Bombyx mori: one gene and its partners. The main gene of each other region encodes a partner of the protein of the gene in region 7 in a complex. Links are inferred from orthologs where the notes say so. Each region holds a gene or a part of one and is shown on either strand. Other genes may lie near its edges. The genes, in order: pre-mRNA-splicing factor CWC22 homolog, small nuclear ribonucleoprotein Sm D3, U5 small nuclear ribonucleoprotein 40 kDa protein, armadillo repeat-containing protein 7, RING-type E3 ubiquitin-protein ligase PPIL2, E3 ubiquitin-protein ligase RNF113A and pre-mRNA-splicing factor ATP-dependent RNA helicase DHX16.

The links.
Region 1: pre-mRNA-splicing factor ATP-dependent RNA helicase DHX16 (region 7) and pre-mRNA-splicing factor CWC22 homolog share a complex: the UniProt entries of both Homo sapiens proteins name them as parts of the minor spliceosome. The link is inferred for Bombyx mori from reciprocal best matches to the Homo sapiens genes DHX16 and CWC22.
Region 2: pre-mRNA-splicing factor ATP-dependent RNA helicase DHX16 (region 7) and small nuclear ribonucleoprotein Sm D3 share a complex: the UniProt entries of both Homo sapiens proteins name them as parts of the minor spliceosome. The link is inferred for Bombyx mori from reciprocal best matches to the Homo sapiens genes DHX16 and SNRPD3.
Region 3: pre-mRNA-splicing factor ATP-dependent RNA helicase DHX16 (region 7) and U5 small nuclear ribonucleoprotein 40 kDa protein share a complex: the UniProt entries of both Homo sapiens proteins name them as parts of the minor spliceosome. The link is inferred for Bombyx mori from reciprocal best matches to the Homo sapiens genes DHX16 and SNRNP40.
Region 4: pre-mRNA-splicing factor ATP-dependent RNA helicase DHX16 (region 7) and armadillo repeat-containing protein 7 share a complex: the UniProt entries of both Homo sapiens proteins name them as parts of the minor spliceosome. The link is inferred for Bombyx mori from reciprocal best matches to the Homo sapiens genes DHX16 and ARMC7.
Region 5: pre-mRNA-splicing factor ATP-dependent RNA helicase DHX16 (region 7) and RING-type E3 ubiquitin-protein ligase PPIL2 share a complex: the UniProt entries of both Homo sapiens proteins name them as parts of the minor spliceosome. The link is inferred for Bombyx mori from reciprocal best matches to the Homo sapiens genes DHX16 and PPIL2.
Region 6: pre-mRNA-splicing factor ATP-dependent RNA helicase DHX16 (region 7) and E3 ubiquitin-protein ligase RNF113A share a complex: the UniProt entries of both Homo sapiens proteins name them as parts of the minor spliceosome. The link is inferred for Bombyx mori from reciprocal best matches to the Homo sapiens genes DHX16 and RNF113A.

What each region holds. Positions count from the first base shown.
Region 1 is NC_085110.1:1,337,975-1,342,155, reverse strand, and holds the start of pre-mRNA-splicing factor CWC22 homolog, read left to right. Parts: upstream 1-1,381; 5' UTR 1,382-1,610; coding exon 1,611-2,658; intron 2,659-3,181; coding exon 3,182-3,839; intron 3,840-4,181. UniProt on the Homo sapiens protein: Required for pre-mRNA splicing as component of the spliceosome. As a component of the minor spliceosome, involved in the splicing of U12-type introns in pre-mRNAs. Promotes exon-junction complex (EJC) assembly.
Region 2 is NC_085122.1:328,611-332,684, forward strand, and holds small nuclear ribonucleoprotein Sm D3, read right to left. Parts: upstream 2,801-4,074; 5' UTR 2,613-2,800; coding exon 2,303-2,612; intron 1,192-2,302; coding exon 1,109-1,191; 3' UTR 183-1,108; downstream 1-182. UniProt on the Homo sapiens protein: Plays a role in pre-mRNA splicing as a core component of the spliceosomal U1, U2, U4 and U5 small nuclear ribonucleoproteins (snRNPs), the building blocks of the spliceosome.
Region 3 is NC_085109.1:1,115,071-1,119,030, forward strand, and holds the start of U5 small nuclear ribonucleoprotein 40 kDa protein, read left to right. Parts: upstream 1-1,160; 5' UTR 1,161-1,390; coding exon 1,391-1,507; intron 1,508-1,818; coding exon 1,819-1,945; intron 1,946-2,506; coding exon 2,507-2,710; intron 2,711-3,031; coding exon 3,032-3,274; exon of another isoform or gene 3,275-3,836; coding exon 3,837-3,960. UniProt on the Homo sapiens protein: Required for pre-mRNA splicing as component of the activated spliceosome. Component of the U5 small nuclear ribonucleoprotein (snRNP) complex and the U4/U6-U5 tri-snRNP complex, building blocks of the spliceosome.
Region 4 is NC_085121.1:11,321,643-11,325,771, forward strand, and holds the start of armadillo repeat-containing protein 7, read left to right. Parts: upstream 1-1,329; 5' UTR 1,330-1,482; coding exon 1,483-1,591; intron 1,592-2,134; coding exon 2,135-2,305; intron 2,306-3,732; coding exon 3,733-3,983; 3' UTR 3,984-4,129. UniProt on the Homo sapiens protein: As a component of the minor spliceosome, involved in the splicing of U12-type introns in pre-mRNAs.
Region 5 is NC_085116.1:14,595,389-14,597,990, forward strand, and holds part of RING-type E3 ubiquitin-protein ligase PPIL2, read left to right. Parts: intron 1-68; coding exon 69-217; intron 218-1,841; coding exon 1,842-1,993; intron 1,994-2,602. UniProt on the Homo sapiens protein: Has a ubiquitin-protein ligase activity acting as an E3 ubiquitin protein ligase or as an ubiquitin-ubiquitin ligase promoting elongation of ubiquitin chains on substrates.
Region 6 is NC_085108.1:7,585,954-7,590,018, forward strand, and holds the start of E3 ubiquitin-protein ligase RNF113A, read left to right. Parts: upstream 1-1,265; 5' UTR 1,266-1,515; coding exon 1,516-1,609; intron 1,610-2,879; coding exon 2,880-3,031; intron 3,032-3,582; coding exon 3,583-3,735; intron 3,736-4,065. UniProt on the Homo sapiens protein: Required for pre-mRNA splicing as component of the spliceosome. As a component of the minor spliceosome, involved in the splicing of U12-type introns in pre-mRNAs. E3 ubiquitin-protein ligase that catalyzes the transfer of ubiquitin onto target proteins.
Region 7 is NC_085110.1:11,482,215-11,485,714, reverse strand, and holds part of pre-mRNA-splicing factor ATP-dependent RNA helicase DHX16, read left to right. Parts: intron 1-58; coding exon 59-195; intron 196-631; coding exon 632-2,195; intron 2,196-2,855; coding exon 2,856-3,258; intron 3,259-3,343; coding exon 3,344-3,500. UniProt on the Homo sapiens protein: Required for pre-mRNA splicing as a component of the spliceosome. Contributes to pre-mRNA splicing after spliceosome formation and prior to the first transesterification reaction.

The DNA of each region.
Region 1 (4,181 bases), about 10 Mb from region 7:
CGATAACAATAAACTGTATTACGTTCCGTTTTAAACAGTGACCAGTATAGCTAACTATAAAAGAACAGTTTCGCAGTATATTAAATTGACGTCACATCTTACAATGCTGGCAGTGCTTATCGGAGCATAGCTGTAGTGTGGCTGCTTATGGCGTTGTTCTTGAAATCTTTCCGCTTTTCTTTGTGGGTGACGCATTTACGTTGTAAATGTTTTTTTTTTATGATTGAAAGATTACTGGTGGCCCGGAGGCCTTTCCAGCTTCACCAGGACAGGTGGGCGAGCAAAGGCTCAGCCAGGAGGGGTGGGATTTGCTAACAGCTACCCGAGCGCCTCCGAAGGAGACCTAACAACTCGAGAGCAATTGCTTCGCGAATGAATCTACTACCGGATCGGAATCGCGACCCACTGAGAAGATCCGGTGAGAAACTCAGCGAGCTGATGCATGGGTTAGGTTGCACGTCGACCTCTTTGTCGAGTTCGACGAGTACGGTTACCGGGGTTCCTCAGCCTGCTCCTAGTGTTAGAGCTGAAGGTATCTAATGTAAGAGTTATTGGATCTGATGGATCCGTAAGGACATGTCTAGGGCGACGACGGTGACTTGCTCCTGCGTGATCAGGATTCGGGGAGTAATCAGCGGCGGCAACGATAAGGCGATTATCATGACGTGTCTATGGGCTCCGACGACACGAGAACCCTCTCAACGTGGCCGCCGATAACTACATTGCCGATCTTGCGGACCAAATGGTAAACATTCGACGTCACCCAAAATACGTCATCTCGGATCCTCCTGATCCACTAACGGTGCTTTTAGGTACCCCAAGCACCGGTCATCGTTCTCGTCAAGCCCCTCGCTTGCGACGAAGGACTGGGTGAATAAATTAACCCACAGACACAGCCCACTGAGTTTGTCGCCAGATCTTTTCGGTGGGTCGTGTTTCCGATCCGGTGGTAGATTCTGCGCAGCACTGCTCTTGCTAGGGTTCGTGTTAGCAACATCGTCAGGTTTGAGCAACGTGAGCTCACCTACTAGCCTGGTGACGCTGATATGATCTCTCTAGAACATCAGCTTAGGTAGGAAAAAAAAATCTTTGCTGCAAACATTAGGATTATCCATTAAATTAGCACCTAACAGCGCCGAGAGTGGATAATCTAAAAAAGTTAACTGAATTTGTCCAAATACATAAACACCATTTTACTGATATTATATTTCATCTCATATCATTTCGTTTCATTTAATGTCATCTCAAATCTCAATTGATTAATGTCGCAAAAACAACTTCATTTAAATTTTTTTAAACAATACTTTACTTTATTAGGCCGTATAGTATGATACCTTCACCTTTTCAGTTGGAAAACGGAGTTACTACTACTCTACTACTACTGACATGACAGTAAAATAAAAATGTCAAAACAAAATGGCTGTTTTATTAAGGTCAAGCTGGATTTTACTTAGTGCACGTTCTACTTTTTCATCGAAATAAATTTCATGATTTTACACATAATATTGAAAATGAATAGTTTTAATAATATTGAGTTCTAGATACAGTATTAAATTCTTTTATAAAAAGTTCAATTGTAGTCTAGTAGTGTCAAAACAAAAATCATAAGAATGGAGAAGACTAACACCAAGCAGAAGAAAGATAAATACGAGGAAGATGATGAAAGGCGTAGGTCGAAAAGGTCGAGACGGGCTAGATCTAGATCTAAGTCACTTGAGGAACAGCAGAATAGGGAGTATAGAAGTAAACGCCGGCGTTCCAAATCACGCTCACCTCATTACAAGGCTAGGGAAGATAAACGAGTTAAAGACACACAAAAAGAGCCAGAAACAAAAAAAGATGCCTCTACAAAGCCAGAAAGACGCGCAAAAGATACTGATATGTTGAATACTAGAACAGGAGGTGCATACATTCCACCAGCAAGACTGAGGATGATGCAAGCGCAGATCACGGATAAGTCCTCGATAGCTTACCAAAGACTTGCCTGGGAAGCTCTCAAAAAGTCAATTCACGGTCACATCAACAAAATTAATGTCGGTAACATAGGTATCATTATAAAGGAATTATTGAAAGAAAACATTGTCAGAGGTCGAGGTTTGTTATGCCGTTCTGTTATTCAAGCCCAGGCAGCCTCGCCAACATTCACTAATGTATACGCGGCTCTAGTATCAGCAGTCAATTCACGTTTTCCTAATATCGGGGAGTTGTTACTGAAAAGATTAGTGATTCAATTCAAAAGAGGTTTTAAACGCAATGATAAGTCAATTTGCATTTCCTCTGCATCTTTCATTGCACATTTAGTGAATCAGAGAGTGGCACATGAAATTCTGGCTTTAGAACTTCTCACTTTACTAGTTGAATCACCAACAGATGATTCAGTTGAAGTTGCCATAGCATTCTTAAAGGAATGTGGCCAAAAATTGACTGAAGTATCATCTAAAGGTGTAAATGCAATTTTCGAGATGCTAAGGAACATTTTGCACGAAGGTCAGTTAGACAAAAGAGTTCAGTACATGATAGAAGTAATGTTCCAAGTTTGGAAGGATGGGTTCAAAGACCACCCGGCACTGATTGAAGAGTTGGAGCTCGTGCCTGAAGAAGAACAGTTCACACATCTATTGATGCTGGATGACGCTACAGATCCTCAAGATATCCTGAGTATGTTATATTCTATTAAACTATCCATAAAAAAATAAGCCATAAAACACTTAAGTAGATTATCTGTACAGTCTGTCAATTGAATTATTTGTTCCCCTAAGTTATTTAATAGCTATTGAGGGTATGCACAAGAGTTATTGTAACACTTAAAATGCTAAAAGTTTTGAGTGTATATAACACTCTAAACGAGTAAAGTTTTAATTTTTAATAGGATTAATCAAAAATTTTTATATATAGTTTACATAAAAATGCTTTTAGCTTATTTAAAAATGTAACTTAAACAATCTCAATTTTTTTTCATATACTTTTTGCTTTAAGTTTTAAGATAGTAGTACTCTGTGTTAGTGAATTCAATATCCATTATTTTAGCCTATTTTTATTTTCCATCGTATGTATTAACTCATTTATGCCCAACATTATTGAATGTTATAAACAATTTATCTTAATGCTCCATTTAAAACAAATGTAAAATAAGCAAATTAGTATAAAAGAATAAAAATAACAATTTTCCCAAATGCTTCAGATGTTTTCAAATTTGATGAAAAGTATGAAGAGAATGAACAGAAGTACAAGAATCTTTGCAAGGAAATACTTGGTTCTGATGCTGAGTCCGGTGATGAAGATGGTTCAGGAGAAAGCGGTAGTGAGGAATCTGATGAAGAAGATGAAGAACAACCAAAAAAAGAAATGACTATTATTGATAACACAGAAACAAACTTAGTGGCTCTGAGACGCACTATATACCTGACAATCAACTCCAGTTTAGATTTCGAAGAATGTGCTCATAAACTAATGAAGATGCAACTGAAACCAGGACAAGAAGTGGAACTATGCCACATGTTCTTAGACTGCTGTGCTGAGCAGAGAACATATGAGAAATTCTATGGCTTATTGGCCCAAAGGTTTTGCAACATCAACAGAATATACATCGGACCTTTCGAGGAAATTTTCAAAGATTCATATTCAACAGCACACAGGTTGGACACGAATAGACTCAGAAATGTCAGCAAGTTTTTCGCCCATCTGCTGTTTACAGATTCCATTAGTTGGGAATCTTTGGAATGTGTTAAATTGAACGAAGAAGACACAACTAGTTCTAGTCGGATATACATAAAGATTCTGTTTCAAGAACTGGCTGAATACATGGGACTAAAGAAACTGAATGACCGTCTACAAGATCCGTTCGTATTACTTTGTTTTGATGTTTTTTTAGTTTTATAATAATAAATAAACCCTCAATTTCAAATGGAAATATGACAAATGACAGTGGAAACTCTTTGAAAGGATAGCTCAGGGCACAGACAAGCGATTATATATTGCTGAGAGCAATGACAGTTGTTATGAGAGGTTCACAATAATGAATGTTGATTTTAACTACAATTGCTACATTGCTATGCTCATGGGTGTGATTTAATACTAGCTTTACCCTTTCTTTTGAGTTAGGAGATGGTTTCGGAACCAGTGAACAAAGTTTACGGCTTACCAAAAACTATCTTTATGGTTTAATCTTGCGAACTTTATTA
Region 2 (4,074 bases), on a different chromosome or scaffold from region 7:
CTGAGGTGCTGATGTGCAGTGTGAGCTTGTATGGTTAGACACCACTGTCCTGTGCGTCTGTACAGTGAAGCCGTCATGACTTCTATTATTATACTATCTCAGAAGCAGTAGTGGCCAGTGGAATTTGACTAATAATAATTATAGTTAGTTGACACTGCGTGTCTCATAAATAAAAACACTAGTTATTATCCAAATTGTTTTTTATTTGTTTTCAATCTTTTGATATTCACACCCACAACGACACATCCTATCACATATCTGCTGACAGTCTCAGTAAACTTGTTACACTGTTTGTAACTAATCTAAATTCGAACATAAAACATTCAAATTAAAAATATTTTGCATAAGAGGTTGTCGTGTCCTAAAGGATAAGATGCCGAGTTACACACATTTAACAAACATGCATGATTGTTGCAGGTTTTATGCTGCGAAGCATTCCAATTTGCCCATTAAGACAGCATTTATCCCAAACAGTACAACTGGGACTTTGATCTCAAACCTCATGGTAGGTGCAGGCCTTCATAAAGTCTATAGGCTCCAGTTACAGTGCAAAAAAATTCAAAATTATATGGATAAAACATTGTCAAAACTCGGCCATTGGTTAAGTTTGGTTTGTACAAGGCAGTTTATAATAACTTTTTATATTTAATTACAATAGTCACCCCCGCATAAACCACACATAGATATTTCCTCAAGCCAAAACAAGATTGAACTATTACCCATCATATGGACAAGATTTCTAGATTATTGGGACTGATATAAGGATAGAACATAGAGATTAAACATTGTATTGATTGGGAGTCACAATAAGTCACCATAGGGTAGCATCAGTGTGTAGTGTCTATTTGATCAAATGGTCCATGAGACCTAAGATGTGTAAAGCAGATTGAAGGGTGACCAAAATAAAAAAACAGAAAATCTGGAACAGGACCTTATTGTTACATTTGAGAACATAATAATAATCTTTGAACAAACAGTTGTTCTATTTCCAAAATTTGTATTTTTCTCACTTAGATATATCAATATATAAGAATGATAATGAAATAATTCCTTGACAATTGAAATATAAGACAAGTACAACTTAAGCTATCTAAAAAATATCTTAACGCTAGCGTCGAGATGGTCCTGACCCACCTTGCCAGCCTCCACGGTGGCCCCCACCTCTTCCACCTGCTCGTCCTCGACCAGCAGCTGAAAATTTCAAAGATTTGTATTTTACTTCTTGATTCCTCTAGATGTGTGAGTAAGCTTACAACCCACTTGATTAATGATTTACTGTGGCCCACAAACATCAAAATAAGGATGCTGGTTGGCATGATACTTGAGATGAGTATGAAGAGATACATATATTTGATCGCTCAAATGTATTGTAGTTACTGTCCAGCCCGTCAAATCAATTCACATTCCTGTTTAGCAACAGAAATTTGCCGTAATTATTTAAATACACAAGAATGGGTTTTCACAAATGTAATAGATACAGTTATTAGTTTGCATAACATTATGTAAAATAGGTTTTACTTTAGATGTGTGAGATTGTGTGCATTAGGTACTTGACATGGTCTCATCATTCACATATTTTCTTTAACCACCCAAAGTAAAATTGTCAATAACATATAGTTGAATGATTAGAAACAATTAACATTGGAACAAAATACTGATTTGATATTACAAAACTTAAAATTGCAAATTTGACATTGTATGTCTATATAAGCACTCAAGAATGAAAAATTGTAAAATATTCTCAATTACTATTAAAAAACTGTGACAAAAAATATCTATACAGGATATAAACAAACAAGACATTTAAAAAATCAAAGCTTCAAACTACCTATTTTTTGCTCATTTGACCCAATTGATCACTATGTATTCAATGCATTTGTACTAATTTTAATGAAGGCTATTTATTGATTGTAATTAAATGTGCTTATCTTTCATACTTGCATACGTTTTCTACTTAGAAATTTTCGTTTAATAATTTGGTTATATAGTGCAGTAATTGTTAAATAGACTTCACTCAAGTCTAATTTATAACAAGCCTAAAGAAATGGGTTGTTCTAAGCTAAAGATGTTTATTCTTTTTTAAGTCTTTGAATTAAACGAAATTAAGAACAATGCATATTCACAATTTCAGTGCTAGATGTAATTAGACTGCAAGTCAGACAGCACTCATTCATATATTAACACTCGTATGTTGTCTTGTTGATAATGAACACAATCACTACGTATGTGATGCGAGAGAACATTTAGGATACCTAGCTCGATAAACAAATCACATACACACTATTTTTATATTGTTCAATACCTTGGGCTCGCAGTATCGCACTCTTCCCTCGTCCTGCAGTAGGTTTATTCCCTTGTCTTTTGAACATTGGCGCGTTCTTCAACATGTCCGGTAATATTAAAAATCTGATCTTGGAACCACGGATGTACACATTCTCGAGCTGTGCAACTCGGCCATCTCTGTATGTGACTGTTACGAGAGTCATTTGGCAATTCATATTATCCTCAGCTTCAATTAATTTCCCTCTATAAACTTCACCGGTATTTGTTTCACAAGTCACTACATGACCTTCCGCCTCGTGAAGTACTTTAATAGGCACACCGATAGACATGTTTACGTTTTAGTTAAGAAAAACGTACGATAAAGGACAATAATTCAGTATTATTTCTTAGATTATTTACGATAAAAATGGGAAAGAATATTTCAAAAAAATTAGACGCTTCAAATCCATAGACATCTAATGTAATATGGCGGCGAGTTCCGTGCATAGACAATAGACATTTTTATTCATTCATTGACAGACAAAGACAACATAACCCATATTACCAAAAATCCATTATGATTTTTAATTCCCTTAGCATTGTGAAAATCAACTTTACTGGTGGTAGGAATGGTAGGATGTCTGCGAGTCCACAGAGGCAGACAACACTACCCTACCTATTCCTGCCGTAAAGTAGTACTACCTTTCGGTTTGAAAATGCAAGAGCATCGCAGGGTATAACTATTGAGATTTTGCAAAAAGTTAAATGTAATCTTAGTTAATTCCAACCATTTTTCTAAATAAATTACATTTCACTGTACATAGCCTAATAGACCTAGTTTCATTTGTAAAAAAAGCTAGGTGCTTAGGCTTTATGCTTGGGGTAGCAAGGGGGCGTGTAAATAGCCCTCCTGCGGCGGGAGCATATAAAGCGGGGTTGTAGAAAGGCGTGTAAATAGCCGTCCTAAGCGGTATGTGACAAATGTTTGTCACTTATAATTAGCGGAGCGGTAAAACTATATAGCGGTAAACAAAAGCTAGTAATCAAACTAAAGATATAAATTAAATACACATAAGCGAGCGGGCGGGCGAATGATTACACGAAGCAGCAATAAAATGGCAATAAATTAAAAGAACTTGCACTCACCTGTAGATCTTGCCAGTGACTGTCGTGCGGGCGTCGGCGATGGAAGCACGCGGGCGGCGGGAGGGGGTGACGAAGCTCACGTAGCTTTTCGTAAGCTCAAGCACCACACAATATACAAGTGCCGCCATCTAGGCAGCTAGCGGTAAAGCGTGATCGATCGGGTAGAACCACGCTTTGGGTAGTCGCGGTAATTAGTTACTGACAAACTCCAAAGGTGGCGCCATCCCAATAATTCATTAGCATCCCATTACTAAATCCGCGTGACCATCCTGCCCGCCTTGAAAGTTCGCAGGACTTTCAACAAATATATAAAGATACTAAGATAGGAAGCATAAAGCTTAAATAGCGGGAAGTTATTTGAAAAGAAACAAATTTTAATTAATAATAAGCCATCATGAATGTTTACGAGTAGAGTTGAAGCGGTTGATGACATGCGGTACTCTAATTTATTCTAGCGGTAGCGGATATAATTTTACAACTGGACGTTTAAGAAATCCAGATTTCGTTTTTACCAAAGCAACGCGTATAATGTTATCGGCACCTGGATACACCTCTTGTATAACTCCAAGTGGCCAGCGGAGCGGTGGAATGTCATCTTGATGAATAAGAACTACTGTCCCAACCTTCACGGGGTTATCTGATGTACACCACTTCTGTCTGACTTGC
Region 3 (3,960 bases), on a different chromosome or scaffold from region 7:
ACCAATCTAAGCAATAAAAAAAAAAAAATGCGTTCTCGTCTCTTTTAAAAGTTCATTACACAAACAAAGCGATCGGGGCTACACGTGAAAAAATTGTAACTTAAACAAATGATTTATAGCCGTCGTGACCTAAAGGATATGACGTTTGGTGCATTCGTATGTAGCGATGTAACGATGTTCGAATTGCGCAGGCAAGTGCCAATTTTTCTAATGAAATACGTACATATCAACTAAACTGACTTCCACGGTAAAGGAATAACATCGTGTAGTAAGAACAAAGCCCGCAAAATTATAATTTGCATAATTACTGATGGTAGGACGTCTTGTGAGTTTGCACGGATAGGTAGCACCACCCTGCCTATTTCTGCCATAAAGCAGTAATACGTTTCATTTCGAAGGCTGGGACAACCATTGAATTTTTGAGGAGGCAGTCTCCTCCCGGTGATGGTCACGGGGCCTCCCCCGGGCCAACTCCCTCACCTGAGGGGGTTGAGGCTGCGCCGCACGCTACCTACCATCACTCTAGCGCGCTGGCACAAGGAGGACGGGACAACACGTCAGCGACTACGGCCTGCAATGCGGTCCGCATTGTCGTCGTCACTATCGTCGCCGAACATACTGTGGAAGAGCAACGCGGTCGGAGGTGTATCGCGTTCTGACCCATCAGGCTGGTTTTGGCCAAGCAGAGTATCCCAGAACACCAGCGGCATCGCCCGGGCGGCCAGGTAGGGCCACCGTACCGCGGAGACCAGCGTCATTGGTCATCGACTACCGTCTCGACGACCCGTCGGTCAGGGGTCCTCGGAGGGGCGCCGCGTGTCTGGTTATAGTGTTGACCGCGGGAACCCCCCCTACATTGTCCGGATTCTGAGCCCGGACGGAGATCGGACGTTGGGTGTAAATGTGCAAGGGAGTCGTTTAGTGCGGTAGGGCCCTAAAACTCCTTGGGCCCGCGGTCTGCTCCCAAAACCTGCAGATCGTAAAGTTCCACATATCTCACGCCCTCTTAGGCGCGGGGACCTCTTAGAAGGATCGGCCCCGGGCCCGAAAAAAAACCATTGTACTTTAAAAACTGGGACATTAGAATTCAAATCTCAAGGTGCATGGCGGCATTTACATTGTAGATGACTATGGGCTCTAGTAAACACTTTAAGTTCTTCATTTTGAATGACTCATTATCTCATCTTCTCATCTGAATAGGTATACAAAAAAAAAACTTTTTAGAAGGTAGCTTTGTCTTTTGTTACAAAGAATTTGGCGATATTGGCTATTTTCCTTTTGCCTATACAATTGACAAATGAAACAAGCTAAACAGTCCTTATACCATTTTTAAGGTTAGTATTTCTGTTTGTAGCTATAAAAACAAATAGGTAAATAAACATCTTAAAAAATGCCAGATATAGAAACTAAAAGAAAAGCAGAGGATGTGTCTCTTGTACCCTCCAAGCGAGTACGGCATGAGATCTCAGTAGTCGGCACCAGAGAAAAGGCAGTTGTTACTTCATCTGTGAGTATTGTTTTCAATAAAGTTTACTTATTTTCTCAATAGTACGGTCTATAAAAGCTAAGAACTCTAACGCCACGGTGAAAGCATCAAGAGATCATAATTATAATTATTAGAAATGGAACATAACATCTAAAATAAACTTTTAGAAAAACACAATCTGTACTTAGGTAATCATGATTGATATTTGTTAAAATTTAAGGTAATACGAATTTTAGTCGGCTTTTACTTTAAGATTTATTTTTCAACATTTGTAGTGATCAACAAGATTCCAAGATTCCTGTGTTTTGTATTTTATATTCTTGTCGTTCTAGGTTCCACGAACATCAAACTTGTATGCGCCAATTATGTTGTTGGAAGGACACCAAGGAGAAATTTTCACAGGCAAATTTCATCCTGAAGGCAAACATTTGGCTTCTGCAGGCTTTGACAGACAAATATGTAAGTAACAAAATCATGACAAAGCTTTTGAATTGGCAAAGTGTTTCTAAAATTCACACTCTAATAATATACTACTATCAAAACGTTAATGAAGAATTGACACATTTGATAACACAAATTATAAGATTACAGTAGGTAGGTTTTAAATTTAATTGAAAAGAGTGAACAAGGTAAAATCTGACCTAGTGTATAAGTGATTATTGGAGACCATAGACATTATATTACAGCGTCTTAAATTTTCTCTGAAGTCCAAATCCATTTCAGTTTGATTTAATATGCATTATTAAGAATGACTGCCAGTACCAATATCCCAGGCATGGGCCACACTGTACTGGGGTTTTAGTGACACGAGCCCTATAATGTAGGGAACAATATGATACAATACTCAAAATGATAGCTGATATAAACTGTTTAGCTTAAGCCACCATTAATATAAAAAAATACAAAATAAATGTTTATACCATTGAAAATTTCCACCAATGTCAGGGTCATGTTGACAACTTATAAGCTGTACAAGTCCAACTTAGTAATATTATGATTTTTGATTTCTTATTTTCACAGTAATATGGAATGTGTATGGTCAATGCGAGAATGTGATGGTGATGAAAGGTCACACGGGAGCAATAATGCAGCTTTGCTTCTCACCTGATGGTTCACATTTGTACACTGGAGCTACGGACAATACTGTAGCAGTATGGGACGTACCCACCGGGACTAGAATCAAGAAGTTAAAGGGTCACGCTAACTTTGTGAACTCTGTTTCAGGTATGTTTCATAGTTTGAGTTTTGACACACAATGGTTTTCATGCTAGTGCTTTTTAGTAGTACAAATACACAACAGTAACTTAATTAAACATTACTTTGCACTCTCAGAGCCTTAAAGTGATTGGATCCAAATAAAGTGGGATTGACCTAAAATTGAAACTATAATCCGTAACCATGGTTTGAAACCAGATAACATCAATCTAAAATCTCAATGCCTGTGGATACAATAGAACTGTAAATTCATTCATGGCATCCATTAAAAAATTGGTTTAGACAACGTAACAATCTATTCTAACTTTCTCGTGTTATCTCTATATCCAGGAGCAAGAAGAGGTCCAGAACTCTTAGTTTCAGCTTCAGATGATAACACCATAAAATTATGGGATGCAAGGAAAAGGAATCCAGTTGCATCGTTTGACAGTTCATATCCAGTCACAAGTGTACTCTTCAATGATACAGCTGAAAAAATTTTATCCAGCGGTGTGGACAATGTCATCAAAATGTGGGATATAAGGAATAATCAGATTTCCTTGAAAATAAAAGGACATACAGACACGGTTACAGGTTGGTAATTCTTTATTGATTCTGATTAATTAGATTTTTATTAGGTGATAATACTGCAACCAGAAATTAAATTAAAATATTGATACAGTTTATCTAGAGTGGAGTGAGGGCAATATGATGACAGTAATGACTTCAGTCTATTAGTTAACTACTAAAATACTGATTACCATACAATGTATTTAACAAATATTGATCTTATGAGGAAATGAGAATGGATTGATTGGTATGCAGTACAGTAGTAGTAGTTGCATACATATGTATTTCTCTTTATAATCCCTGTTGTTACTTGTTGACGGGTGTATTGTAAACTTCTTCACCCATTCTGCCTTCGGTAGCCCAAACTGGTATTAGGTAATTTTAGAGAAATGTAACAGCTATTATTAGAATGTCTCTAGCCTTATAAGTAGTAATAATTCATGACTAAGACTACTTGTTTAGTTTACTTGTAGATCGTGAAGTCATCTACCCAGGTGCGGCAATAAATATGTGAATAGAAATCATATGAGTTTGATACATTTAATGACTGGCAATGTCTAACTTGTGTTGCAATACTCGTTTCCAGGATTATCATTGTCATGGGATGGTGCATATCTCCTGTCCAATTCAATGGATAATACACTCCGTATTTGGGACGTTAGACCGTTTGCACCAACAGAACGCTGTGTCAAATTAATGTCTGGCCACCA
Region 4 (4,129 bases), on a different chromosome or scaffold from region 7:
ATTATTTATATGGACCGAAATGATGAATACAATCCATAATTTAAGCACAATACACAACATAGTGTAAATTAAGCTGGTTTCTATTCTGAAGCGATGTGACGTGAATGATAATCAACAATACAATGATCAAAAAAAGTATGTGCATGTTATATTTTAGAAAATTATTATTTAATTTCCTTAAAAATCACAACTCTGAAACAAAATCATAAAATAGAATAAAAAATAGAAAACAAAAGGACTGGAAATGCAATAATACAATTTTATTTAATCAACATTTTCAAAATAATCTTTGAGCAAGAGTAAGATATCAGGTGAATAAGATAAAAAACCGGCTTTATCTGATTACTGCCAATAATAACAAAAATAAAAGAAATTCTTTCTAAGCGAAATAACTAAACTCAATTAATTCACTCACTCATAATTGGATATCTCGGATTTTTAATTAATGTTACATTTAAAATCTGAGGCCTGTTTTTATTTGTGTGTGCGTTGTGAATGTTAACAAAATCATGATTCGACGCGTGAATAGATTATGAAATAACAAAAGTTTTGATTCGTTTGAGTTCTTTTAACTTTTTTTTTTTTTTATTGCTATAAAGAACATACGACCGGGCAGATGTTACAAGGTAAATGTCGCGAAAAAAAAGTAATTATATATATACTTTTCTTTTACCTATAATACTTACATAAACTAACTGATAAACATATTAACCTTCTTTACATCACGCAATTAAGTGATAGTATAGGCTAAAAAATCTATTATAAGATATCAGTGACAACCCTAACAAGCCATCCCTATTTTGTCTTTTGGCGTTCCAATTTTGTGTTTTCTCGTCCCTAATTTTTCCAGTCTCGTTCCAAATTACCCTACAAACGTCCCAATTTTCCCCAAAAAGGAAAGAAAAAATATACATTTTTTATTTTGTCGAAATATTGTATTTAAAATAAGAATATTGCAACTTACCGTTTGTTGTGGTATTTCCAGGTGTATTAAAAACTTATATAAACTGTGATCTTATTGAAAAAACAACGATAATATTACTTTTTTTAAAAGTTCTTTAAGCTGTTTTAAAACGCACTTTTCAACCACTATTTTCAATTTAATTTGACGAATTTTTGGGACCAACTTAACTCATATTTAGTACTTCTATAGTTAACTTGGTTTTTCTTCTATACATTGACAAATATTAACATAAACAAAATTAGGTAGATTCCGTGCTACAGGTACTTTGAGAATCTTCCGCAGGTTTGTCCCAATTTACCCCAGGATCCCAATTTACCCCATGTCATGGTAGATAAAATGTTCCCTTCCGCATGTCATTGTGCCACCTGTCAAATGTCAAAAACAACAGAGAAAACTGTCATGGCGTGTCAATTGAATTATTGAATCAAAGGAAAAATAAGGAATGTGTATTTACTTTAATGAAAGTGGTCCAGTCAAAGTAGGATTTTTTCTATAGCCTTTTAAGTTACTATAATTTAATGTTCAGTTCAAGAGCACACTTACAAAAACGTACCCCAAAAGATGGTACTGATCGCGAGGCATATTTGTCATTATTAGTCGACGAATATTTACACTCAAGTTCCTATGGTAATAAAATATACATGCAATATCTATTTAATTAATTTTAATGCGATTTACGTATGAACTTTCACAATTGCCATTAAAGTTTTTACTTTTAAAAATCTTAGATAGTTAGAAAACTATTGCATAAACAAGGGCGACCTTAATGCTAAAGAGTACTCACAGTACAGCTAGCCCTATTGCGTTTGGATAATGGTATTTTTCGTTTTAATAAAATTAAATTGTGTATGTGACTTATGGGATATGATTATAGTGATTTTAATATTTATATTTTATATTTATATTTATTGTATCATACATTAGTTTTTTTTCTTCATTATTAAGTAATGTGCATGAAGGTTTGCTCTGTTTCTGAATAATTAATAACATACCTGTTGGATCTTTTTCACAATTTCTCTAGATAAAAAAGGTTGTTTAGAAGAGATGATTGTGTGACACAATGATGATTGTGTTTTGGTGTGTAGTAAAGTAATCTATCTCTCTCTATCTCTGTCTCTCCACGGCTCTCTCCATGGCACTGCAATTTGTTAATGTTATTTTTCCTTACAGAAGCAAAGTTGCAAGTTTTAGCCAATTTGGCAAATTTTGCATATGATCCTGTGAACTACTCATACATTAGAGACGTTGGAGTACTAGATATATTCTTGTATGTGCTGAAGAATGAAACTATTGGTAGATTAATAAGGTATGCCATTGCGGGTGTCTGCAATTTGTGTTTAGGTAAGCTGTTGATAACAATAGATGAATAGTTTTCTCAAATTATTATAAGTTCAATTAAACTGTCAATTTTTTTATGAAAACTCTTATAAGAAAGAACCTGTTCAATAAAAGTATTCTTTATATTATTATGTACAATAATTTATTTAAGATTATCAAAGTAGCTCTATTTAAATTTAATTAAATACTTGAACTATTTGAATATTTGTGAGTGTTGATAAGATGTGATTTAGTGCATTTTAAAGTAAATTAAAATTGAAAGTGCCCAATAATATGTAGTGAGCTTGCACCGTTTTCTTGTAAATGTTTTAAGTGCAATGCTGCTTATACCAAATAGCCATTTTCCCCTCAATATTGTGTAACTGTCCCTACATACCATTAAATTGGAACTCTCTTTATTATATTGGAAAGTCTTAAGCCCATTAGACTGAAATGGTTTATTAATGTTATATCTGACAGTAGTACCAACACATGCTGCCACCACACTACTGACAGTATTCAAGATAATAATTAGAAGAGTAAGGAAAGTAGTAATTAAAAAGTAAAAAAAATTTGATTCTGATTCTCAATAATATTTTCATTAAGAAAGAATAAAATAGCAAATGCATTAATAAAATAGCAATAGACCCGACTACCGACTAAACCCCATCGAGCTCCACTACTCCGACTCCACGAAACCTACGGTACCGCACAATGCGCGCCGCAGGCTCGCCGTCGCCGGTACCCGTCCTGACAATAGGACGGGATCCAATCCCCGGGAAGATCCCGCAGGAATAGACTAGCAATAGAATAGCAATAGACCCGAAATAAATTATTGCTAAAAAAGAAATTAGTAATACTAAAGATTTATCAGTCATTTTGAATCAAACATTTTGAAGTCGTTGTGGTCTAAAGGATACTCCGTTTGGTGCATGCGTATCTTGCGATGCATTGGTGTTCGAATCCGGCGGGTATCTGGCGGGTATCTGGCGGGTACCAAATTTTCTAATGAAATACGTACTTAACAAATGTTGACGATTGACTTCCACAGTGAAGAAATAACATCGCTTAATAAAAATGAAACCCACAAAATTATAATTTGCGTAATTACTGGTACCTATTGTGAGTCCGCACGGGTAGGTACTACCACCTTGCCTATTTCAGCCGTGAAGCAGTAATGCGTTTCGGTTTGAAGGGTGAGGCAGCCATTGTAACTATACTGAGACCTTAGAACTCATTACAAGGTGGGTGGTGGCATTTACGTTGTAGATGTCTATGAGCTCCGGCAACCACTTAACTTCAGGTGGGCTGTGAGCTCGTCCACCCATCTAAGCAATGTAAAATCCCAAATTTAGAAAAACGCTAGAATCATCTTTAAAAATTTGACACTATATAAAATCATATTGCTATTTCACATTTCACATGTTTATGTAAGAATTATCACTTTTCAGATCCACTGAATGCAGACTATATTTTAACTCACTTGGGATTAAAACCTTTGTTTCGATTATTGAAGTCAAGTGATACAGACACTGTAGCTGATACAATAACGACATTGATATATATGTACAATGAGAAAACAAAAACTGAAATAACTGATCAAGACGTTATAAATATGATGTCAAATTTGAAAACTACGCAGGATTTGAGGATCGTCAATTTAGCTACAGTTTTTCTACAAAATGTGTGTAAGACCACCTGAATAGTTACATAAACGAACTTCATAATGAACAAGATGCTCTCGAATAGATTCCCCTATATTATTGTGAACAATAAAAATTATCAAAAAATATGCAAGATTCATACCACATCCTTCAGCAACACAGCTTTTAAAGCTGGTGATAAAAT
Region 5 (2,602 bases), on a different chromosome or scaffold from region 7:
ATCACTCTTTAATTCATGAAGAGTAATGTAAGGGCAAGATTGTTAAGACCAGACAATGTTTGTTTCAGGTTATGTAAGACTGGTAACAAATGTAGGACATCTGAACTTTGAATTGTACTGCGACGTAACGCCCAAAACTTGTCACAACTTCATGACACATTGTAAAAATGGATACTACAACGGAACAAAGTTCCACAGGTCTATCAGGAATTTTATGGTGAGTTGATGAAAATATTAAGTGGCGTTGAGTTTTATACCACGACTAGTGTAAAAAGACTGGTAGTTCTGCTTTGCAGAACTTCAACTTTTTTTATTGCTTAGATGGGTGGACGAGCTCACAGCCCACCTGGTGCTAAGTGGTTACTGGAGCCCATAGACATCTACAACGTAAATGCGCCACCCACCTTGAGATATAAGTTTAAGGTCTCAAGTATAGTAACAACAGCTTTTTTTTTTCGGGGAGAAATCCTCATGGATTGCCTCCGCCTGGTGAAAGGCGGAGGGGCGTGCTGGACTCCTACCGGCTAAAACCACCCTGGTGCCTCACCACACGTGCACGCGGGGCCGCGGGAATCGAAATTCTTCCGCAGGCCCACATAGTTAAAACAGCTGCCCCACCCTTCAAACCGAAACGCATAACTGCTTCACGGCAGAAATAGGCAGGGTGGTGGTCTCCCACGTGGACTCAAGAGGTCCTAAAAAAAGTGTCTGACATCTTGATTAATTAAACTACGTATCGAGGGGTGAAAGGCCATTTGGCTTAAGCTTCGATCAACAATAGTACAATTGTTGATCGAAGGGCTTAAGCGACATTTTTGCTACATTACAGGAGGACCGTTTAAAGTTTATAATTGGGACAAAATATTTTTACGCGTTGGGATTCGGGATAACTAAAAATTCTACCGAAGTACAATTTAAAACTGTATTAACGCATATAACCACTTAACAACGGGTGGGCTGTGAGCTCGTCCACCAATCCAAGCAAAAAAAAAACCACAACATTAAAGTTCTTAATTCACTTCTTCCGCTTCGCTTCAGGTGATCCGTTCGCTGTTTCGCTTCGAGTAGATGCGATTACTGACTGCCTTTGTGTTATCTCTGCAACGCTTTTATAATAGATACAACATTATTATTGCATTGCGTATAAAGCGAAATATCGCTTAAACCAAATAGCCTTACACCTCTCGATATGGCCTCCTGACTGAGCCTTTGCTCGCCCACCTGTCCTGGTGACAATGGAAAGGCCACCAGTAATCCTTCATTTTGAAAAAAAAGTTGGTCTGGGACAGCTAGCTTTATTATTTTAATGAAAACTATCAATGAACAAACAAATTGAATTAGAGACAGATGTGTGTCTAGAGTAATTCTATTGTAAGCTCAGAACTACTTACTATATCTGCAATATGGTTTTTGGGATAAACAGGTGATAAGAGGATACAGAACCTATGACCTATGGTCTCACTTTTCTGTCTATTTTTAACACAAAGCAATCATGCCAGAGGCGTTTAGTTTTAGACTGTCTATAACTGTCTATTACCAGATGGACCGTGAAGTTCGTCTGGCGATTAGACAACTTACCTGTTTAAAATATATGATTTTTTTATTAAACTAGCTGACGCGGCCGACTTCTTAGTGCCTCGATAAACAAAAAACCTAAACTTTTGTAAAAAATAAACTCAAAGGGAAAACAAAATTGTTATTTTTATTTAATTCCGAGCATTTTCATATTTATCTACCTTTTAAACCTTCATTCAATTCAAGACCAAAATTAGCCAAATCGGTCCAGCTGTTCTCGAGTTTTAGCGAGACTAACGACCAGCAATTCATTTTTATATATATAGATTCAAGGAGGAGATCCAACGGGCACAGGGTTGGGAGGCGAATCCATTTGGAAGAAACCTTTTGATGATGAAATTAAGCCAAACTTGCACCACACCGGACGAGGAGTCTTGTCTATGGCTAACTCGGGAACCAATACTAACGGATCACAATTGTAAGTACTAGATGTATTTTTAATAACTATAAATGAACTGAAGCTTTTAGGACTGGGACAGAGTTGCTTTTTTGAAATTGTAGTTTCGTGTTGTATGAATTTTCTAAAACAATAAATAAAATTACTATTCTCAAAACTTCACTATTTGAAAATTAAATAAATACAAGAACGTGAAGAAGACCAGTGCTTTGGTTCTACTCAAGACTGTGAGTTTACCTAGTCTTGCCATAAATACTGAGACAAAGGGAAAAAAAAAATCTATTGCAAAAACGTTTATTACTTTTACAGTGTGTTAGTTTAAAACATAAATATAAAACAATTTAAAGTATTAAAAGATTATTCGAAGTGGTCTCCATTGGCTGCAATACAGTCCTTTGAACGTTGAGGCCAGTTATCAATAGAAGCACACACTCTTTCCATGGGAAAATTTTTCACTGTCAATCGTACGGATTGTTTTAGGGACTCCAAATTATCATGGCGTTTAGAGCAAGCCGTACTCTCTAAAACTGACCATAAATTATAATCCAGCAGATTAAGATAGGGACTAGACGACGGCCAGTCTTCAGCTGTCAAGTTCGAGTCCGAAACGTTCGTTTCCAACCAAGACTG
Region 6 (4,065 bases), on a different chromosome or scaffold from region 7:
TAATTAGTGATCATTCTTAAATGTTTTTTGTGGCAGCCATTAATGGTGTATACAAAATAATTTATCTATGCGAGCACACAATACCTATACACAATTATTATTTTTACAGTTTGCATTTTATTACACGATGTCATTCTTTTATTGTGTTTCATAAATGTGCACTTCTCATAACGGTCATCTAAGAAATACAAAACGGGGCCGCGTTGCAGAATACGGCAATATTAAGCCTGACAAGTGACAAGCAATCAGTGAGCGCTGTAACCTGTGACGTTTTAATACAAGGATCGATAAAACTAGACTGAGTTTTTTGTGCATTCCTTAAAATATCAAGTCGTCGTGCCCTAAAGGATAAATCGTCCGGTGCATTCGTGTTGAGCGATGCACCGGTGTTCGAATCCCGCAGGCGGGTACCAATTTTTCTAATGAAATACGTACTCAACAAATGTTCACGATTGTCTTCCACGGGGAAGGAATAACATCGTGTATTAAAAATCAAACCCACAAAATTATAATTTGCGTAATCACTGGTGGTAGAACCTCTCGTGAGTCCGCAAGGGCAGATACCACCACCCTGCCTATTTCCGCCGTGAAGCAGTAATGCGTTTCGGTTCGAAGCGTGGGGTAGCCGTTGTAACTATACTGAGACCTTAGAACTTATATCTCAAGATGGGTGGCGCATTTACGTTGTAGATGTCTATGGGCTCCAGTAACCACTGAACATCAGGTGCGCTGTGAGCTCGTCCATCCATCTAAGCAATAAAAAAAAAATTACACCCTAAACCTTTTAGCATTCAATATTTCCAGTTTGTATGGTAAATTATGATTCCACTTCCACTTTATTTCAAGGCAGCTAATGACTTTATTAATTTATCTATTTATTATTACTATAAAAGAGACATGAACATCGTGATAAGAATAGTGTTTATTATGTCCATTACAATGTTTGAGTTTTAACTCTGGTTTCAACTTTTAACAGTAGTAGTAGAAAGGGCTTAAGTGTGAAAAAAAAAAGAATTCCTCAATGTGGCTGTGTGGCTGCTCGGGTCCCTTCCAAATTGCCTAGAAGCCTCAATAAGTCTCCGCTAATTTACTGACAGGCTATTTTATTTCATCTTATACAACATGTACGGCTTTCTCTTATTTAACCTTATTATTCCATATGCTAATTTAAGTTTTGATTTAACTTCAGGCATTGCTATAAATGTTTAAGCTATGTTGTATGGGCAGTATTCCCTCCATTCAATAGACAAATCATAGTTTAAAAAAACAACTATCCGTCAAAATCAATCACATGTCAATGTTAAAAATGAGCATTATTTTGATCATTGCCAATATTATCATGTTGTGAAATGCAAAAATTAATTAAAAACCCTATAAATACCGACAATACTTGAAGGTCCTAAAGTGAAATACAGTACTTTTATTTAGTATTATTGTGTCCTCATTAATGATTATGTAGATATTACTCTAATATCGTAGTAAGCACACACTAGGTTGAATAAACAATCGTTCAAAATGTCAGACGCCGAAGTGGAAGTACTCAGTACTTTTAAAAAACGTAATATTAAGAATAGGGGTGGCAGAAAACGTAAAACTTCCAGTTCAGAAGGTAATATTGATCGTTAAGTTATTAAATTATTCTCCAAACGAAAGACATCTAAGAATAGTACATTAAAACTATCTCATCGCTTCTTCATATCCTCTTTCTCACTGTTCCCAGACCCCCGTATTATAAGTGCTTTTATTAAGTGTATAACTACTAACTATAAAATTATAATTATATGTAGCGCATTATTCTCTGTACATAATCTTTATTATAATATGTAAGTTTGTAGTAACATTAATTTTGTGTTAGTCCCAGGCACCATTAATATAGCCAAAATTGGATACTTTTTATAATATAAAGTGTGTTTAAATAGCTCGACAATGTTCCATATGTAGCCATAACACGACACTGGCAGAAATTGCTGGCAGAAACTATCGGCAGATTACCATTATAAAAAAAATATATCGACGCTTGAAAGGCAAAAGTGACTAAGCGACAATAACTGCTTTGCACATAAATGATAGGCAATAACCATATTCGATCCGCAAAAAATATATATTTCTAGGTCTATTAAAATTATTTCAATCCTACAGCTACTAGCTAGTTTCTACTACAACTGGATTCGTTAAAATAAATTTTGTTTTCATGTATTTCAACTTTAAATTAGTCTACCGTAAAGTTCACGCATTGTCGCTTAGTCACGTTTGCCTTTCAAGTGTCGATATATATTTTATCATATGAGGCCGTCAGCGCAAAAGCAGCCTAAGCGTACTATAGTTATTATGGAGCAATGAGGCTTTAGTTTTCATGAATTTGAATTTGAGTTGGCAAAAAAAACAATATGCGCTAAAATAATGATTACAAAGCCATCTGCTTTCTATGGGTGAAACTATGGATAGGCCGGTTTTGCATAAAAATTTATTATATATTAAATAAATTGCAATATACATGATTATAAGCATGAAAAATTGTGGGTTAGGCCACTTTTGCGCTGACAGCCTCATATATACTTGATATTTTTTTTTTTTATAAATATAAATATTTACTAACAATCACTCCACGTTAACTGGTCCCGTGCTAAGTTCGTAAAGAACTTGTGTTACAAGTACCAGATAACGGAAATAAATATAATATTTTTATTATACACATATATATATATATATATATATATATTTAATATACACCCATAACCCTGGAAAGACATTTATATTTATCATACAAATATCTTCCCTTGGCGGGATTCGAACCTGCGACCCCCTTGTGTAGTGACCATGTCACTTACCACTACACCAGACGGCTGCTTAATATATAATTTAATATAGTAACGTTTCAGAGAAAAACAGCTCGGACTCTGATGAGCAACAAGTAGTTCTACCAACGAAAAGGGTGAACAAACCAAATCCAAACATACAGTCTACAGGAGGTCCGAAGAAATCCAAAATTGATGTAATTGAAGATAATGATGATAGTAATGATGAAGAAAAGGTATAGTAACATTAACAGCTCATCATCATCATCAACTCACTTGGATATCATCAGATTTGATAATCTGATCTATAATGAGATCTGCACCTTTGAAGCACCAGATATAAGATATCATAAACAGGCTGTTGGTCCATCTTGTAGAAGGCCTACCCACACTTCAAATCTTCACATACTTCATACATATTTAGATATATAATAGCCACTTGAGAACTTTTGGTTCCAACAGCCTGCTTGCTGCCATTTCAGCCTTTCGGGTTGTCTTTTTTTATTCCTTAAGTTCTTAAGTGGTTACAGGAGCCCATAGACATCTACAAAGTAAATGCCGCCATGCATCTTGAGATATTTGTTAGTGTCTCAGTTATATCTCCACTGAAATCAATATTATCAACAATTAGAGCAGTTTATCTTTACTTAAATCTGGCACACATCTTTTTATCTCTTTAATCTTTTTACACGTCATCTTTATGTTGAAGTCTTGTCTTCTGTATTGAACATAAAAAAAAACCGTTTTAAGATCCATTTAGATCAACATAAGCTTACAATTCTTTCAGACTTCTCAAAGGACAACACTATCGGTTCAACAACAGAGAGAGAATGCAACAGCTACCTATGAATTAGACACAGAAAAGGATAGAGATGCCCAAGCCATCTTTGAGAAGGCTCAGAAGATCAATGAAGAGTTGCACGGACAAGCAGATGATAAGGTATCCATTTCTTCTTCTTCTTCTTCTTCTTTGTCGTTTCCTCATTACTGAGGATCGTGACCACCTTGGTCCAGTTTTTGCACCAGCTTCCTCCAATGTTGCCTGAGGGAGAATGCGGGAGGGACAGCGTAACCGCTCTAATGTTAAAGAGCCTAGGCTCGGATGGTACCAAGATTTTACACTCCATTTGCCAGAAAATATGGCGTACTGGCCAGTGGCCTGAAGACTGGACGGAATCAATGTTAATTCCTCTCCATAAAAAAGGCTCCACGCGCAAATGTGAGAACTACAGGTATCCATTTAACAGTATTGAAATCGCACACTTCGTGG
Region 7 (3,500 bases):
GCATTTGGTTAAAACAAAATTAATAGTTTAAAATGTGTCATATCATTTGTCTTTATAGCCTAACAAAAAGAGAAAAAGAAGAAAGGGAACACAAGAAAACTTTATTACAATTAGCTAAAGAACATGAAAAAGCAAGAGAGTTAGAAAATGTTCAAAGATATCATATGCCTCGGGACTTGGGGAAAGGGGAAAAAGGTAATTATCCAAAATTACAAAGAAACCTTTCAAATGAAGAACTAAACAAAGCTTCAAACCTTAAGAGAAATTTAATTATGTAAAATATTTAATTATGTATTTCAAATTATGGGATGAAAAAAACTTAGCTGACGTTAATAAAATGAAGGTTTAAATTATGGACAAAAAGTTTTTCAAGCTATGAACAAAATTTCTGAAATATTTTCATTTTATTAATGATGTTGTTTGGTAAATCATATAGAGTTTAATTGTGAAGTTTCAAATATTCAGTTTGGTCTTAAATTTCTATATTGTTTATTTCTCATCCAATACTTTCATTTTAAAATTTCAAAATTTACAAATCAACAAAACAAAAGAAAATAATTAAAAAATTGTAATCAGTAATAAATTATTTGCTTGTACATCTTGTATATAACCTACTAATTGTATATTACAGGTGAATATGTTGAAGTTGATGAAAATGAGAGGTTGCCACATTCTGAACAGCAAAAATGGGAACAAGAACAAATTAAATCTGCTTTCTTTAAATTTGGTGCAAAAGATGCTAAAGCTACAAATGAATATGATTTATTACTGGATGAACAAATTGATTTCATACAGGCTCTTAAAATGGAAGGTTCTGAAGACAAAAAGGAAAAGTCAGAAATATCAGAATATCAAAAAATTCGAATGACCATTGAAGAAACAAAAAAATCACTTCCAATATATGCGTTTAAACAATCACTTATTGAAGCCATACAAAATTATCAAATTCTAATTGTAGAAGGTGAGACAGGATCTGGCAAAACAACACAAATACCTCAATATCTCCATGAAGCTGGTTTCACTAAAGATGGGAAAAAAATTGGGTGTACACAACCTAGGAGAGTAGCTGCTATGTCAGTTGCTGCAAGAGTTGCACAAGAAATGAACGTAAAACTGGGAAATGAAGTTGGTTATAGTATAAGATTTGAAGATTGCACATCTGATAGAACAGTAATAAAGTACATGACAGATGGAACTCTTCATAGAGAGTTTCTATCAGAACCTGATCTAGCCTCATACAGTGTAATGATCATTGATGAAGCTCATGAACGTACCTTACATACAGATATATTATTTGGTCTTGTAAAAGATATAACCAGATTTAGACCTGATTTAAAATTGCTTATATCCAGCGCAACATTGGATGCTGAGAAATTTTCAACATTCTTTGAAGATGCCCCAATTTTTAGAATCCCGGGAAGGAGATTTCCTGTGGACATCTATTACACAAAGGCACCCGAAGCAGATTATGTAGATGCTTGTGTTGTATCAGTATTACAGATTCATGCCACACAACCTCTTGGTGATATATTGGTTTTTTTAACAGGACAAGAAGAGATTGAAACATGTGTTGAAATGTTACAAGAAAGGACGAAGCGTATAGGCAAAAAACTGCGCGAGCTTTTAATATTACCAGTATATGCCAATTTGCCTAGTGACATGCAAGCTAAAATCTTTGAACAAACTCCTGAAGGAGCTAGAAAAGTCGTTCTTGCTACAAATATAGCTGAAACTTCATTGACAATTGATAATATTATATACGTAATAGACCCAGGTTTTGCCAAACAAAACAACTTCAATTCCAAGACTGGCATGGAAAGTTTAATTGTTGTTCCCATTTCTAAAGCATCAGCAAATCAACGAGCTGGACGAGCCGGAAGGGTTGCTCCTGGAAAATGTTTTAGATTGTACACAGCCTGGGCATATAAATATGAATTAGAAGATAATACTGTACCAGAAATTCAGAGAATAAATTTAGGAAATGCAGTTCTCACTTTAAAAGCTTTAGGCATCAATGATCTAATACATTTTGATTTTTTGGATCCACCACCGCATGAAACATTAGTTTTGGCTTTAGAACAACTTTACGCTCTGGGTGCACTTAATCATCATGGAGAGTTAACAAAAGCAGGCAGAAGGATGGCTGAATTTCCTACCGACCCCATGCTCGCGAAAATGTTGTTAGCTAGTGAAAAGTAAGTAATGTAAACATAAGTCATTCTCTCATAACTAACTTTCATAATGAAGGATTAACTTCTTCTTTTTCTGCATCTTACTATCAGCCAACAGCTCAACACTCACTACTCTCTCTCTCTCTCATATCGTCATTCACACACTCCATCCGTCTTCTTCGATCGACCTCTTTCCTCTCTACCTTGCACTACCAATTCCGTACATCTCCTAGTCACATGCATCTTCTCTCTACGCATCACACGTCCATACCACGCTAACTATCCGCTTTTTAATTTGTTAATTACCGGGGTTACTTTCATACTTCCTCTGATATACTTATTCCTCATCTTATCCATTCTTGTCACTCCACACATCTATCTCAACATTCGCATCTGGAATGAAGGATTTACATTGTGTAATAACCTGGTAAATTTTATAAATTTGTATAATGACTAGTGATAGAGCTGTTGTGGAGATATCGATAATTTTATTATAACTAATGTACAACACAATCAAATCAACAAAACTTTTATTCCACACTTTATACTACAGACTTACAGATTGTGGGTGAAGAAGTAGTTAGTAGCTGATAAATGCGAACGCGTCCACTCATACCCTCTAATTAAAAGCAGTTCAGATTGTCTCAAAATCACTTTAATTCTCACATTTTTCTTGTCTTACAGATATAAATGTTCTGAAGAGGTTGTCACAATTGCAGCAATGCTATCAGTAAATAGCTCCGTCTTCTACCGGCCTAAAGATAAAATAATCCATGCAGATACAGCAAGAAAAAATTTCTTTCATCACAAAGGAGATCATCTGACAATTATGAACTTATACAATCAGTGGGTTGCTTCAGATTATTCGGTGCAGTGGTGTTATGAAAACTTCGTGCAGTATAGATCGATGAAACGAGCTCGAGATGTTCGTGAACAATTAGTCAGCCTGATGGAAAGGGTAGAAATTGAAATGGTTACAAGTTTATCTGATGATACTAATATAAGAAAGGCTATAACGTCTGGTTATTTCTATCATATAGCAAAATTTTCAAAAGGTGGTCATTATAAAACTGTAAAACATAATCAGGTAACGAAACTTAAAATCTTGATAGTTAAAATAATGTTTTTTTCTTTTTCTTATAAATCTATCCAAATATATTTATTGCTTTCAGACAGTTATGATACATCCTAATAGTGCTCTATTTGAAGACCTTCCACGATGGGTGATTTACCATGAGCTTGTATTTACATCTAAAGAATTTATGAGACAAGTCACCGAAATTGAGAGCAAATGGCTACTGGAGGTAGCGCCTCATTATTACAAATCAA